Oryzias latipes: one gene and its partners. Each later gene encodes a partner of the first gene's protein in a complex. Links are inferred from orthologs where the notes say so. Each region holds a gene or a part of one and is shown in the gene's direction. Other genes may lie near its edges. The genes, in order: nelfcd, nelfa and nelfb.

Region 1 (2,540 bases):
TTTTGGTTGTGTAGCACTTAGGGTTCCTGTGCTCCATTTGCAGAAAATGGTGTGTCATGGCGAGCACACTTACCTCTTTGCCCAGGCGATGATGTCCATCCTCGCTCAGGAGGAACAAGGCGGTTCGGCTGTTCGCAGGATCGGCCAAGAGGTGCAAAGGGCTGCACACGAGAGGTACACCCGTAGCAATGGAGCTTAGTCCAGGGGTTTGCAGGCTGCAGCACTTAAAAAAACGGACCGGAAGGTTTATTTATTTATTTTTTTAGGAGCTATAAAGTCTTACTTTCAGGAAAATAAGACAGATTTGTATTTATGTTGCTGTTACTGTTATGGTAAATATAAATAAACTGTTGTTTTTGGCTTCAATAAGATATAATCATTAAGAGAAAATAGCCTTTTTTTCAGATTATGAAATGGTTTATAATTTTTGGCGCGACTTCCTTTTGAAATTAAAGATACCAGGTGTCGCATAGGATCATGTCAAGGCAGCAAATATAGTAATGGGCAGTGTAATTCCAGCAGAGATTTAGAAAAAAAGTTTATGTTACCGTTTGCGGTAAATCGAACAAAGTGAAATTAAATCAGCGCTAATTAAGTGACCAATATATATATATATATATATATATATTTAACTCTATGGTGCTCTTAAAATCCTTTAATTTCTTCAAAAATAGAAAATATTCCTCAGTTCTGGTTGTTCTTACCGACTTTCAATCATTTTCTGTGGTAGACTTATTCTGTGCTGAAAATTTGCGACCTGGCTCTGGACGAAATGGCGCCGGACACAAACGCCTGGAGGCGGACTTTCCCAAACCCAAAAGTGTTCAGAATTGTAAAATAAAACATTTTATTAAAGCTTAAACTGAGAAAAAAAAACATAACTATTTGGGTCGCCAGTTAAAAGAAAGTTTTATCAGCGGACATTTGTCTTCTGGCTGTTGATGTCTGCAGCCAGGTCCTTTTGCAAAAGTCTGTCAAAGTTTTAGTTGTGACACTTGCTGAACCCCATTAGAGGAGTTAAAGGTTGCAGACCCCTGCTTTAAGCCTTATACTGTTAGAGACATCTTTAGGTGCCGCTCAGAAGTGAATTTTATAACATGGTTCGAGGGAGGAAAATTATTTTGATTTTGCAGCTAGAAATTGATGAATGCGTTCAAAAAGATGCACCGTTTAAGGTTTTACTCCCCGACATGCTATCTGGACCAACAGGATGTGAACTCTTGTCTCTTGTTTTTAATGGCAGAGGCCACGATGCCAGCCAGATCACCCTGGCACTTGGAACCGCAGCCGCCTACCCTCGAGCCTGCCAAGCTTTAGGTGCCATGCTGTCCAAAGGAGCCCTGAATCCTGCTGACATCACAGTTCTTTTTAAGATGTTCAGCAGCATGGACCCTCCTCCTGTTGAACTGGTAAAGAATCACTTTTCTTTTTTTGTAGTGTCGATAAAATGCTGTTATTTTAAACGATCTTCTTGTTTTTAGATCCGAGTGCCGGCGTTTTTAGACCTTTTCATGCAATCGCTTTTTAAACCCGGATCAAAAATCAACCAGGACCACAAACACAAGTACATCCACATCTTGGCTTATGCTGCCAGTGTGGTGGAGACGTGGAAGAAGGTACAGAGTTTGCTGACATCATTTACGTCTGCTTTTGGTGCAGAGGATACTTTTTACAGGATAGTTGGCAGCTGTTGGTAGATTATTCATGAAAAGCAAAATTCATGTGCGTTTTTTATGGCTTTGATTCACCTCGATAAGTTCTTTTAACATTTTCCTGCCATTCTAGAACAAACGGGTCAACATCAACAAAGATGAGCTAAAGTCCACGTCCAAAGCCATAGAGACCGTTCACAACCTGTGCTGCAACGAGAACAAAGGAGCCACAGAGCTGGTGGCTGAGCTGGGCACTTTGTACCAGTGCATCCGGTGAGACGAGGATCCAAATCAGTAAAACATATAAAAAATACGAGCTCAAAGACAGAACTGCTTCAAATACTTTAGTTCTCATGAATGTTCAGTTGGAAGCTCCAAAAAGGTGCACGTCTACAGAGGAAGAAGGGACACAGTTCAGCACAAATTGAGCTGATTTGTTGATTGGAAATGATGTTATTGAAGTTATCAGGAGCTAGCTGAAGCTCTCAGATCTCCAACTCTGTTGTTTCACACAAAATAAAACAACAGTTATTTACTTTGAAGACCGACCATGATAAAAATCCTGTTTTTTGGGGTTTTTAACAGGTCATTTTCTGATGATACATTAAGAAAATTAAGCTCCAATTTGAATTTCTAATTATTTCTTTATTCAAATCGTTGTGAATCAGGAGCAGATGAAAAAATGCAGTTTGAAAAAGTGCTTTTTTCTTTTTGCTGGGTTGGGGTTGTGTGGGGCTGGAAGCTAGCGGCAGAACTGGTAAACGGATAGCTCGGTTAAGGGTCAGGGGAAAAAGGGGCGGGGTTGCCCCGCGCCAACTATCCCATCTGCAACACAGATGTGAATTTCTACTAAACTCCTGCTGCTCTGCAGAAACTATGTCCTAGAAA
Region 2 (4,271 bases), on another chromosome or scaffold:
GAAGAAGATAGACGTCAAGTAGCGTCTACACTGCCGCGAAGAAATAATGACGGACATTCTTAAATATCCCAGAACGAAGCACCAGTTGGAGCTACTGGTGCTTGAAATATTCATGTTTTCTTTTTATTATTCTGACTAGCGCGTAAATACTTGCTCTCTTCTTCTGAGGGAAAAGCGACTTTAAGAAGCCTAAAGTTGCGCAGCGCCACCTTGTGTACAGGAGTATTTCTGTTTACATTAAGCGCCATCTAATGTCAGGGAATGAAATTGCATGTTCGCTCGGCTCATCGTCAGCGAAAATCGCCTGGGTGTGAACACAAAAAACGTGGCGAAAAATGCTGGCGAATAACGCCTGGCGAATATTAGTCCCGGTGTGTACGGGCCTTAAGACTATGGATTTAGTACTCAAAGCTCTAGAAATCTGGGGAGTCACAGACCCTGGCATCCAGGTTGAAAGCTGTCTTCTTTAGATCCTGAAGCGCTCTCTGCATGAACTCAAAGGCATGACAGTCCACACACGGGCGACCTGAAAGCACAACAGCTAAGAAATAACACACAGCAGGGAGGTCGGACCCCCCATCCCCCCAAAAACACTGATCTTTTTAGGCTTTAGGCACACACACACACACACACACACACACACACACACACACACACACACCCCCACACACACACACCCACACACACACACGTATATATATGTATGTATGTATGTATGTATGTATGTATGTACACACACACAATAGAGGCCTGTGTGGTCCCATTGGGGGATGAAACCCATATATAAGCAAACATAATGTTTTCATTGACAGATTACCGATTCCATCTCAAGTAATAAAAAGAAAGAACCCCCATAGGCTAATGTTACCTACTTTCGGCTGGGATAACGGTCCCCGTCTCCTGATCTGCATCGGCGGTACCGAGGCAAAAGAGCTGCACGGCCAGAAGAACCAAGGCTGCTTGCGCATAGCCACGGGAAGCCATTGATGACGCCGTCGGGTCCCTGAATCAAGATAGGCAAGAAACATTTTTTTAAATAAAAAATCTACAAGGCCGTCCGGAAACTAATTAGCAAAATATGTAATGGTTAGGTTGTTAATTCCCCCCCCCCCCCCCCCCACCCCATCTTAACAGGCACGTTTTTACAAGTCACCTAAAGATTATTATTACCTCAGTGTTATTTACCTGCAGTCAACCAGCTACTGGTGTTTGGAAATCACAGTGAGGACAAACGAGCGCTGGTTGAGGAACATTCACCAAGTGCGCATGCGTCTGGCCAGGCTAAAATTTGCTATGCTTTGGTAATGAAACCGGAATTTCCCTCAAGCTTTTCAGAATAAACGACACATATTTAGTTTTTTTTTTTTTTTATTTGTCCACACCAAGAAACGTATAACCAGTAAAGAAGCAAATAGACTTGTTTTGTGTTAATAAAAAGGGAAACATGAGACTTTTTTAATGTAAACATTTTATACAGTGTATGGGTACATTGGAAATGACAGAAAAGAAGGCGGAGATGCCAATTTTATAGAAAAATATTTAATGTGGTGATCATTAGTTATCAACATAGCTGTTACACGTAACCACCCACTTGTGGGCGGGGTCCTACGAGCTGTTTTCTTAGGTAGCCTGCTAAAATGCCCGAACTCAAAACACTTCTTTTTCCAAGATGGCGTCGATGAAGGACAGCGACACTGGCCTGTGGCTTCACAACAAACTAGGATCAACAGACGAGCTGTGGACACCTCCGAGTATTGCTTCCCTGCTCACAGTGTCAGTAATCGACAATATACGGCTATGCTTTTCCAGTCTGTCGCCGCCGGTAAAGCTAAAACTGCTCCTGGGGATGCTGCATCTTCCCCGGCGGACCGTTGACGAGGTGGGTTGCTGCTGCTAGAGGTTAGCTTGAAAAGTCTCTGCTATTATTCACACAGGTAGGGTTGTAGTTTAGTTCACAACTAGTTGCAGAAAAAAATCTCGCAGGTACTCAGAGAGCATCTCAGAGACATGTCAAAAGAAAAACACATAACATAAAGAAATTTGGATGTAGTAGCTAATTATGGCTAACTCAGTAACTACTAAAAAGAAACCGCAGGTTCGTTCAGTACATTGATCTTCGGTGAGTTTTTACCTTCGCTTCAAGTCAGCAGTGGTCTAAAATTGAATTGGGGTCGGGAGAAGCTGCTCCATAGCTAAAGTTTTGAACGCCACACTAACTTCGGCTCCCCAGCGGCAGTGGGTAGCATTTGCCTGGTGGCGGGCGTTCAGACATTGTGGTGGGACGGACGCTGCTGGAGCGTTAGCTGGGTCGGAGGGCGGAACCAACACTGAGTCCGACATATCACCTGCTCTGCTATGCTGCTCTGCTGCTCATGCTGCTGCCGCCCGTCAGGACCTCTCAGTCTCACCGGAGCCAAACTCTGACTTAGCTTCAGTGATGGGGAATCCAGTAAAGGCAATTGGTGCTTTTATGTAATAATTTTCGTATCCAAGTCATCGCTTTACTTACGACCTAGAATAAAAACCTAATTAGTTGTCGTTTTTTTGTTTTATTTTATTTATTTTTAGAAGACATACATTTTTGTACCTTCCTAAAAAAGTACGTACGGTGCAGAAAAATATTTTGTTCTCGATTGTATATTTTTATCTTAGCGGAAGGGATACAAACTCAAATTCTTTGCAGAATTATCATTTTTTTTGAAAATTCCAACATGTATTTCATTTTATCTGCTCGTCAACCTTGTAAAGTTTTAATTGTTCAAGAACAATAAACTAAGCTAAACAAGAAGAGGGCGGGGTTACTCTGCACCAGCAGACCCGCCCACAATTTAGAAGTGAATTTCTCCTGGCACTCTTCAGACAATTACAGTTTTTTAAATATGTACTAAAAGCGGTATAATCGTAATCAAAAGACCACTTGGAATCCTTTTAAATTAAGTCAAAAGATGATTGGACTTGGACTGAAATTACTGAAGTAAACACCGGAAAACATGACTGACTTTATGTCAAATATCTTTTGAAAAATATTATTTTTATCCCTACTAAGTCGTCTTGATTGAATATGGAGGGTGTGGTCTTTTGATGTGTTGTCTGATGGGGGGGAAAAAATCTTTATAATTATATCTTTTGAGAAATTTGATAATCAAATGTCATTCTTCTGTGTTTTGCCCAGATGAAGGAGGCCTTGTCTGAGATCATCCAGCTGGCTACGGTGGATTCAGAGCCATGGGTGTTGATGGTTGCAGATATTCTAAAATCCTTCCCAGAGACGGGATCTCTCAATCTGGATTTAGAGGAGCAGAATCCAAATGTGCAGGATATTTTAGGAGAGCTCAGGGAGAAAGGTTGGTAAAATCTGCCATCCTGACTTTTATTGGGATGCTGGAGTCTTTAACCTTGTTTACATGTTTGCAAACATTTGAAATTCAAATACTACCAAGAAAGATTCCTCTGCGCTCTTATTATATTTTATATTTTATTTCTCTTTGTGTTTAAAAGCATACATTTGTTATATTTGATACATATGATACTGAGATATGTTGATCAAATTTATAACAGAACAGTTTGTTAGTTTGTTAGTTTAATCTTATAGTTTGTTTTGTTATTGCCCAAATTTAATGGGATTTCTGGTGTTTTATATATTATTTAAACAAAAAATATTTTTACATTATTATTAGTGTCAAGTTACATAGAAATAAACTTTGTCAGTTATTTATTTGTGTCAGGTGTTATTAGGTTAAAATGTTGTTATAAAAATTAGAAACATATCCATGGTTGAAATGTAAAGACTCACTCTGATGAAAATTGTGTTTTTGCTGTTTTGAACTTGTTCTTGTGGCATTTATCTAGTGATGGAGGAAATATAAAGAAAATTCAACTTAAAATTCCATTTCTGAGTATTTCTTTAATGAAATTGTTTTGAATCAGGAGAAAACGAAAAAATGCTGGTGGGAAAAGATTGTATTTGTGATGTAAACAATACATTGGACGGGTCACAAGCTCCCTGCTTCACTCAGCAGCAGGAGAAGGGGATCCTGGCTAGGAACAACATAATCATAAATACAAGGCCACTATGAACTCTTTTAAAACGGATCAAAGATGATCAGAGTGGGTCCTGAAAGGTAAAAAGTAGGATCAAATTAGTTTGGAGCAAAGTATTTCAAAGAAATTCAATGTTTTTTTTTTTTTTTTTTTTTAAAAATCTTTTCCTATCATTAAGTTTTGAGTTTGCTGCCAAACATGAGGTGGAAGGTTTGAAACCCAGTTCACCA
Region 3 (4,329 bases), on another chromosome or scaffold:
GAACGATATGGTAAATGGCGTATACTTATATAGTGCTTTTCTACCTACAAGGCCCAAAGCGCTTTACAGTCACAGACCCTTTCACCCAGCCACACCGCCTTGGGCGTGCAAGGCGGGAATCGAACCTGCACATATGCGATCATGGGTCGACCGCCCTACCGCTGCACCACGGCCGTCCCACTGATATAGTTTGACCAATATTTTTTTTACACCAAAATTTTACCATGTAAATCACTGTATCCTTGGTACATGGCAGGCGTGTCCAAAGTCTGCCAAATGTGGCCCACTTTCAAATTTCCACCCGCCTTCATGGTCCTGCCATAAAATCATTAGACCTTCAGCACTTTCTAAGAAGTACAATTTCTTGAATTTGATTTGCTAAATTACGTTATTAGCCGTTTTAAACCTGTGGCAACAACCTGTAGCAACTTGACCTTTAGAGCCTCATGCGCCGAATAAGAGGAGTGGATTTATTGGTGTCGGTGATCAAAATCACAGTGGTTTGTAGTTCTGAATAAGATAACTATTTGTGTTTTTTCCCCTTTTCACATGATTTAAATTTAGAAGTTTACAGTGAGCATTTAAAGCTCAGGTAACTGCCTACTCAACCAAATGGTAGAGCATCTTTAGAACCCAATTAATGTGTTTCCACCAAGGCGAGAAGCAGCAGAAAAAAAAACATTTTTTAATTATTTTTTCTTGCTTGGTTAGTTAAAGCCCTGAGGACAGGACTGGGACATGGGAAACCAGGGGGCGCAATGAGCTTCATCCAGTGTGGGTCCTTAGCATAGACTATAAAAACAGTTTTTCACTTAGGTAAGACACTTGACGCTACTGCCTTCCTATATAGCTACAAGGGGGCCAATATCTCGGTCACCCTGCCCTGTGGCGGCCCACAGCCCAGTTAAAATACAGGGTTGTGTCAGGAAGAGCATCCGGCGTAAAAATTTCTGCAAAACTATATCTGCGGATGAGTGAAGGCTAATGTATTTAGATAAAGCTCTGGTCCATTTGAGGAAATGAAAAGTATTTAATTGCAAAAAAAAAATAAAAAATCACACAGTTCATTTCTATTTAACGTTATAATGTTTCAAAGAAGGCAGGCCAAATGCCCGCATTACATTTTTAAGCACACCAAATTTAACCCTCTTTGCAAAAATTCGAGACACCCCTGGAATATGGTGTACATTCTTTTTTGTTTGTTTGTTTGCTAACAAAATTCAAAATTACTCATTTTTTCCATTTGAAACATTCAAATCCAAAAATATGAAGCACCATGGCATTTTACAAATAGAAAACTAGAACAAAGTCTAAGCAGCAGTTGAAAACAATATAAAGTAATAAAACTAAGTAATATGTAATCAAAATAAATAAAACATTGACTTATAATGCCAAACTAAAAGAATTATTGCCTTTGTTTCTTTTAATTTTACTTGAACATGGTGTACGTGTGAATGCAGCCACAGCGGGAAACAAAGAGCGGAACGTTTCATAAGGTTCCGTGTTTCCGGCGGCCCTGTTACAGCGCTACAACATTCGTAGACAACCGTTCAGACTTTAGCTGTGCGTTTAATTTGGCACCAACAAAACTGTTGCAACTTAGCCAAAATAGACGAACCTGTTTTTAGCACAAATTGAATTTGTGGGGTTCGTATTGATTAAATTATAAGAATGTTCGCGGGGCTGTCTGAGCTCGGCATTTCAAACGGGGATGATCTGAAGGAAACACTCACCAACTGTACGGAGCCGCTGAAAGCCATCGACCAGTTTCAGGTAAACAACAACAACAACGAAAAAATAATAGCACAAGATAGAGAATAGACGGGTTCTCTATCTTGGCGGGACGACTGCACATTATGTTAGCTTGCATTGTTCTGCATTTTAAACATTTTTTGTGATTAGATAAGTTTTCATTTCTTCAGAGCAAAATATAGAACTAAAATGACTGAGTTTCATATTTGAAGACCAAAAATAAAATTATGAAAATGTCTGTCTGGAGAAAAACCTTTTTCTAAATCTAAATTAGACAAATATTTATTCTATTAAAAAAAAGCGAGTGTGGTTTTGATCAGAAAAACTAAAAAATCTGAAATTTGGCCCTTAAGTAAATGGCGTATACTTATATAGCGCCTTTCTTCCTACAAGGACAAAGCGCTTTACAGTCACAGACCCATTCACCCAGTCACACACACATTCACTCACACATTCACTCACACATTCACACACTGGTGGCGGCTCCAATGAGTTTTGGGTGTTTTTAACGTGTTCTTGTAGCATTTTTCTCATGATGGAGGACATAGAAGTGCATTTCAAGCACTGCTGGTGCAAAGCTATCAAGTTAGGTTTGGGTTTTCTCCAAATAAAATTAAAATCTTTTGACCGATTGAGGCCAGATTATTGTTCATTTGCATTTCTTTTGGTGGTTACAACAATCCCTCACCAGTTGTTGATGTCTCATGTCATCACAGATGGAAAATGGGATTCTGTTGCCAACACTCCAGTCTGCTCTTCCTTTCCTGGACCTCCACGGCACTCCGCGGTTAGAGTTCCATCAGTCTGTCTTTGACGAGCTCCGTGACAAGTTGATGGAGCGAGTTGCTGTTATTGCAGATGGCAAGGAGGAAGATCGGTACGTTTTCAAAAGAAACTAGCTTTTTGGTAGAAGCGAGGTAAATGGATGCTGAAGTGTTGTTGTACCTTTTTTCAGGTATGGAAAGCTGGAGGAATTGCTGGAGAAGAGCTTTCCGCTTGTGAAAATGCCGTCCATTCAGCCGGTGGTGATGCAGGTGCTGAAGCATCTGCCAAAGGTAAAATATTATGCTACAAGAGGAATATAAATATATCTATTATTTTCTTATCGAAACAAATTGGATACATGGACACTAATTATAGAAAAGCTTCATAAATGTAAGTTTTCTGTTTTTATTCTGGAGCATTTACAGCTACATTTGTCTCAATATTTTAAACTATGCAGATAATACTGGATATAGTTTGCTATGATGCATGCATTACAAAATAGTCTCTTTAAAAGGGCCCATCTAATGCTATTCTAAAGCCTTTCAAGTGAACTATTTCCATATATATGAAAATATATTACCTTTGGCCCATGAAAGAACAAACATTTATGAAATATTAGTCATTTTCACCGCTCCTTTTCCTACCCGGAAGAGAGAGGACTCGATCTCTGAGGCTCCGCCTTTTGCTCCTTGTGGGTGCCGCCCATTTCATGACGTCCGCCTAGATTTGGCGTCGGCAGTGTGTCTGAGTTTCATCCACGAAAATAAACAACATTCAAACTTTTTCAAAGATGGATGTGCACATTGTGCATTTAAAATGAAGCAGTTTTTGCCAAACATTGCTAGCTCCAAGGAGAGAGTGTGTGTGTTAGCCGAGGGGGGGCTGGCAGCACCGACTCTTCCTGGAAGGGGCTGTTCCTCACTTATTCTATGAATGCCAGAACCCACTTGTTTTCGTGGGTTTGGAGGGGCTGGTGCTCAGAGAGTGTGTTTTTAGAGGAATCCTCAGAAATGTGTGAATGGATCAAAATACTAAGTTGGGGTTTTTTTTTTTGTGAGGAATTAACATTATATTACACTTAAAAGCTCAAAAAGTTGATCTCTCATGATATAGGTCCTTTTAAAAAGGTGCACCCTGATTCTTGATCCTTGTCTTGTGTGCATTCAGTTGAAGTCTTCCATTTCCATGGTTCCCAGGGAATTTCTTTGTTTCCTTCATCTAATTTGATATCTTTGGAAAACCAAATGTTTTAGCAAAAGGCAAAAAAAGCTTTAGCTAATTATTGTTTTTTTCTGCTGTAGGTGCCAGAAAAGAAACTGAAGCTGGTTATGGCGGACAAAGAGCTGTACAAGGTGTGTGCGGTGGAGGTCAAAAGGCAGATTTGGCAGGACAACCAGGCTCTTTTTGGGGACGAGGTCTCCCCCCTTCTAAAGCAGTACATCGTGGAGAAAGAAGCAGCTCTCTTCAGCAGTGACCTCTCCATTCTGCACAATTTCTTCAGCCCTTCTCCCAAAACACGACGCCAAGGCGAGGTGAGGGATTATTGTTTTTTTTTCGGATGATGTCTCTCACAGTAGACATGCACCTTAAAGGCCCGTACACACCGGGACGAATTTCGCGCGCGATATTCGCCGACGTTTAACGCCTTGTGACTAAACAAAGGGCACCAATGTGAGTGTGCACACCGACGCGAAAAAACGCCAGGCGTAAAAGCGTCATTTTTTTAAAAGCGCCTCGGGTTCGTTTTTTTGGTCTGACGCGACGACAGATGAGAATGGCGCTTTTGCACACGTGTCTGGGGCTTCTGAAGTT

The links.
Region 2: the proteins of nelfcd (region 1) and nelfa are in contact, whole or in part, in a crystal structure (PDB 5L3X), measured with the Homo sapiens proteins. The link is inferred for Oryzias latipes from reciprocal best matches to the Homo sapiens genes NELFCD and NELFA. Residues at the interface, in XP_047296144.1 of Homo sapiens: Cys204, Gln205, Gln206, Leu207, Glu208, Phe210, Ser211, Leu214, Arg215, Leu218, Ala219, Ile221, Leu222, Asp223, Gly225, Glu226, Cys241, His242, Gly243, Glu244, His245, Thr246, Tyr247, Leu248, Phe249, Ala252, Met253, Ser255, Val256, Leu257; in NP_005654.4 of Homo sapiens: Leu23, Trp24, Ala25, Leu54, Leu58, Leu61, His62, Arg65, Pro88, Trp89, Met92, Val93, Ile96, Leu97, Phe100, Gly104, Ser105, Leu106, Leu108, Leu110, Asn116, Val117, Asp119, Ile120, Leu121, Glu123, Leu124, Arg125, Lys127, Val128.
Region 3: the proteins of nelfcd (region 1) and nelfb are in contact, whole or in part, in a crystal structure (PDB 8JJ6), measured with the Homo sapiens proteins. The link is inferred for Oryzias latipes from reciprocal best matches to the Homo sapiens genes NELFCD and NELFB. Residues at the interface, in XP_047296144.1 of Homo sapiens: Arg63, Ile66, Met67, Glu68, Pro69, Ile71, Phe72, Leu75, Ile89, Gln90, Leu92, Ser93, Tyr96, Thr97, Ala98, Val99, Ala100, Gln101, Thr102, Val103, Asn104, Leu105, Leu106, Trp109, Leu110, Gln112, Thr113, Gly114, Val115, Gln121; in NP_056271.3 of Homo sapiens: Met49, Leu53, Leu56, Val58, Ala59, Asn60, Gly61, Leu64, Lys65, Leu68, Thr69, Leu75, Ile78, Glu79, Phe81, Gln82, Glu84, Asn85, Gly86, Val87, Leu88, Leu89, Ser91, Leu92, Ser94, Ala95, Leu96, Pro97, Phe98, Leu99.

What each region holds. Positions count from the first base shown.
Region 1 is NC_019863.2:26,963,663-26,966,202, reverse strand, and holds part of nelfcd (negative elongation factor C/D), read left to right. Parts: intron 1-43; coding exon 44-174; intron 175-1,243; coding exon 1,244-1,409; intron 1,410-1,481; coding exon 1,482-1,616; intron 1,617-1,785; coding exon 1,786-1,925; intron 1,926-2,540. UniProt on the Homo sapiens protein: Essential component of the NELF complex, a complex that negatively regulates the elongation of transcription by RNA polymerase II.
Region 2 is NC_019876.2:18,438,386-18,442,656, forward strand, and holds the start of nelfa (negative elongation factor A), read left to right. Parts: upstream 1-1,418; 5' UTR 1,419-1,669; coding exon 1,670-1,879; intron 1,880-2,131; exon of another isoform or gene 2,132-2,289; intron 2,290-3,172; coding exon 3,173-3,344; intron 3,345-4,271. Other genes in the region: c18h4orf48 (neuropeptide-like protein C4orf48 homolog), read right to left, coding at 438-526, 873-984. UniProt on the Homo sapiens protein: Essential component of the NELF complex, a complex that negatively regulates the elongation of transcription by RNA polymerase II.
Region 3 is NC_019871.2:30,111,725-30,116,053, reverse strand, and holds the start of nelfb (negative elongation factor B), read left to right. Parts: upstream 1-1,511; 5' UTR 1,512-1,671; coding exon 1,672-1,773; intron 1,774-2,468; coding exon 2,469-2,629; intron 2,630-2,707; coding exon 2,708-2,807; intron 2,808-3,818; coding exon 3,819-4,049; intron 4,050-4,329. UniProt on the Homo sapiens protein: Essential component of the NELF complex, a complex that negatively regulates the elongation of transcription by RNA polymerase II.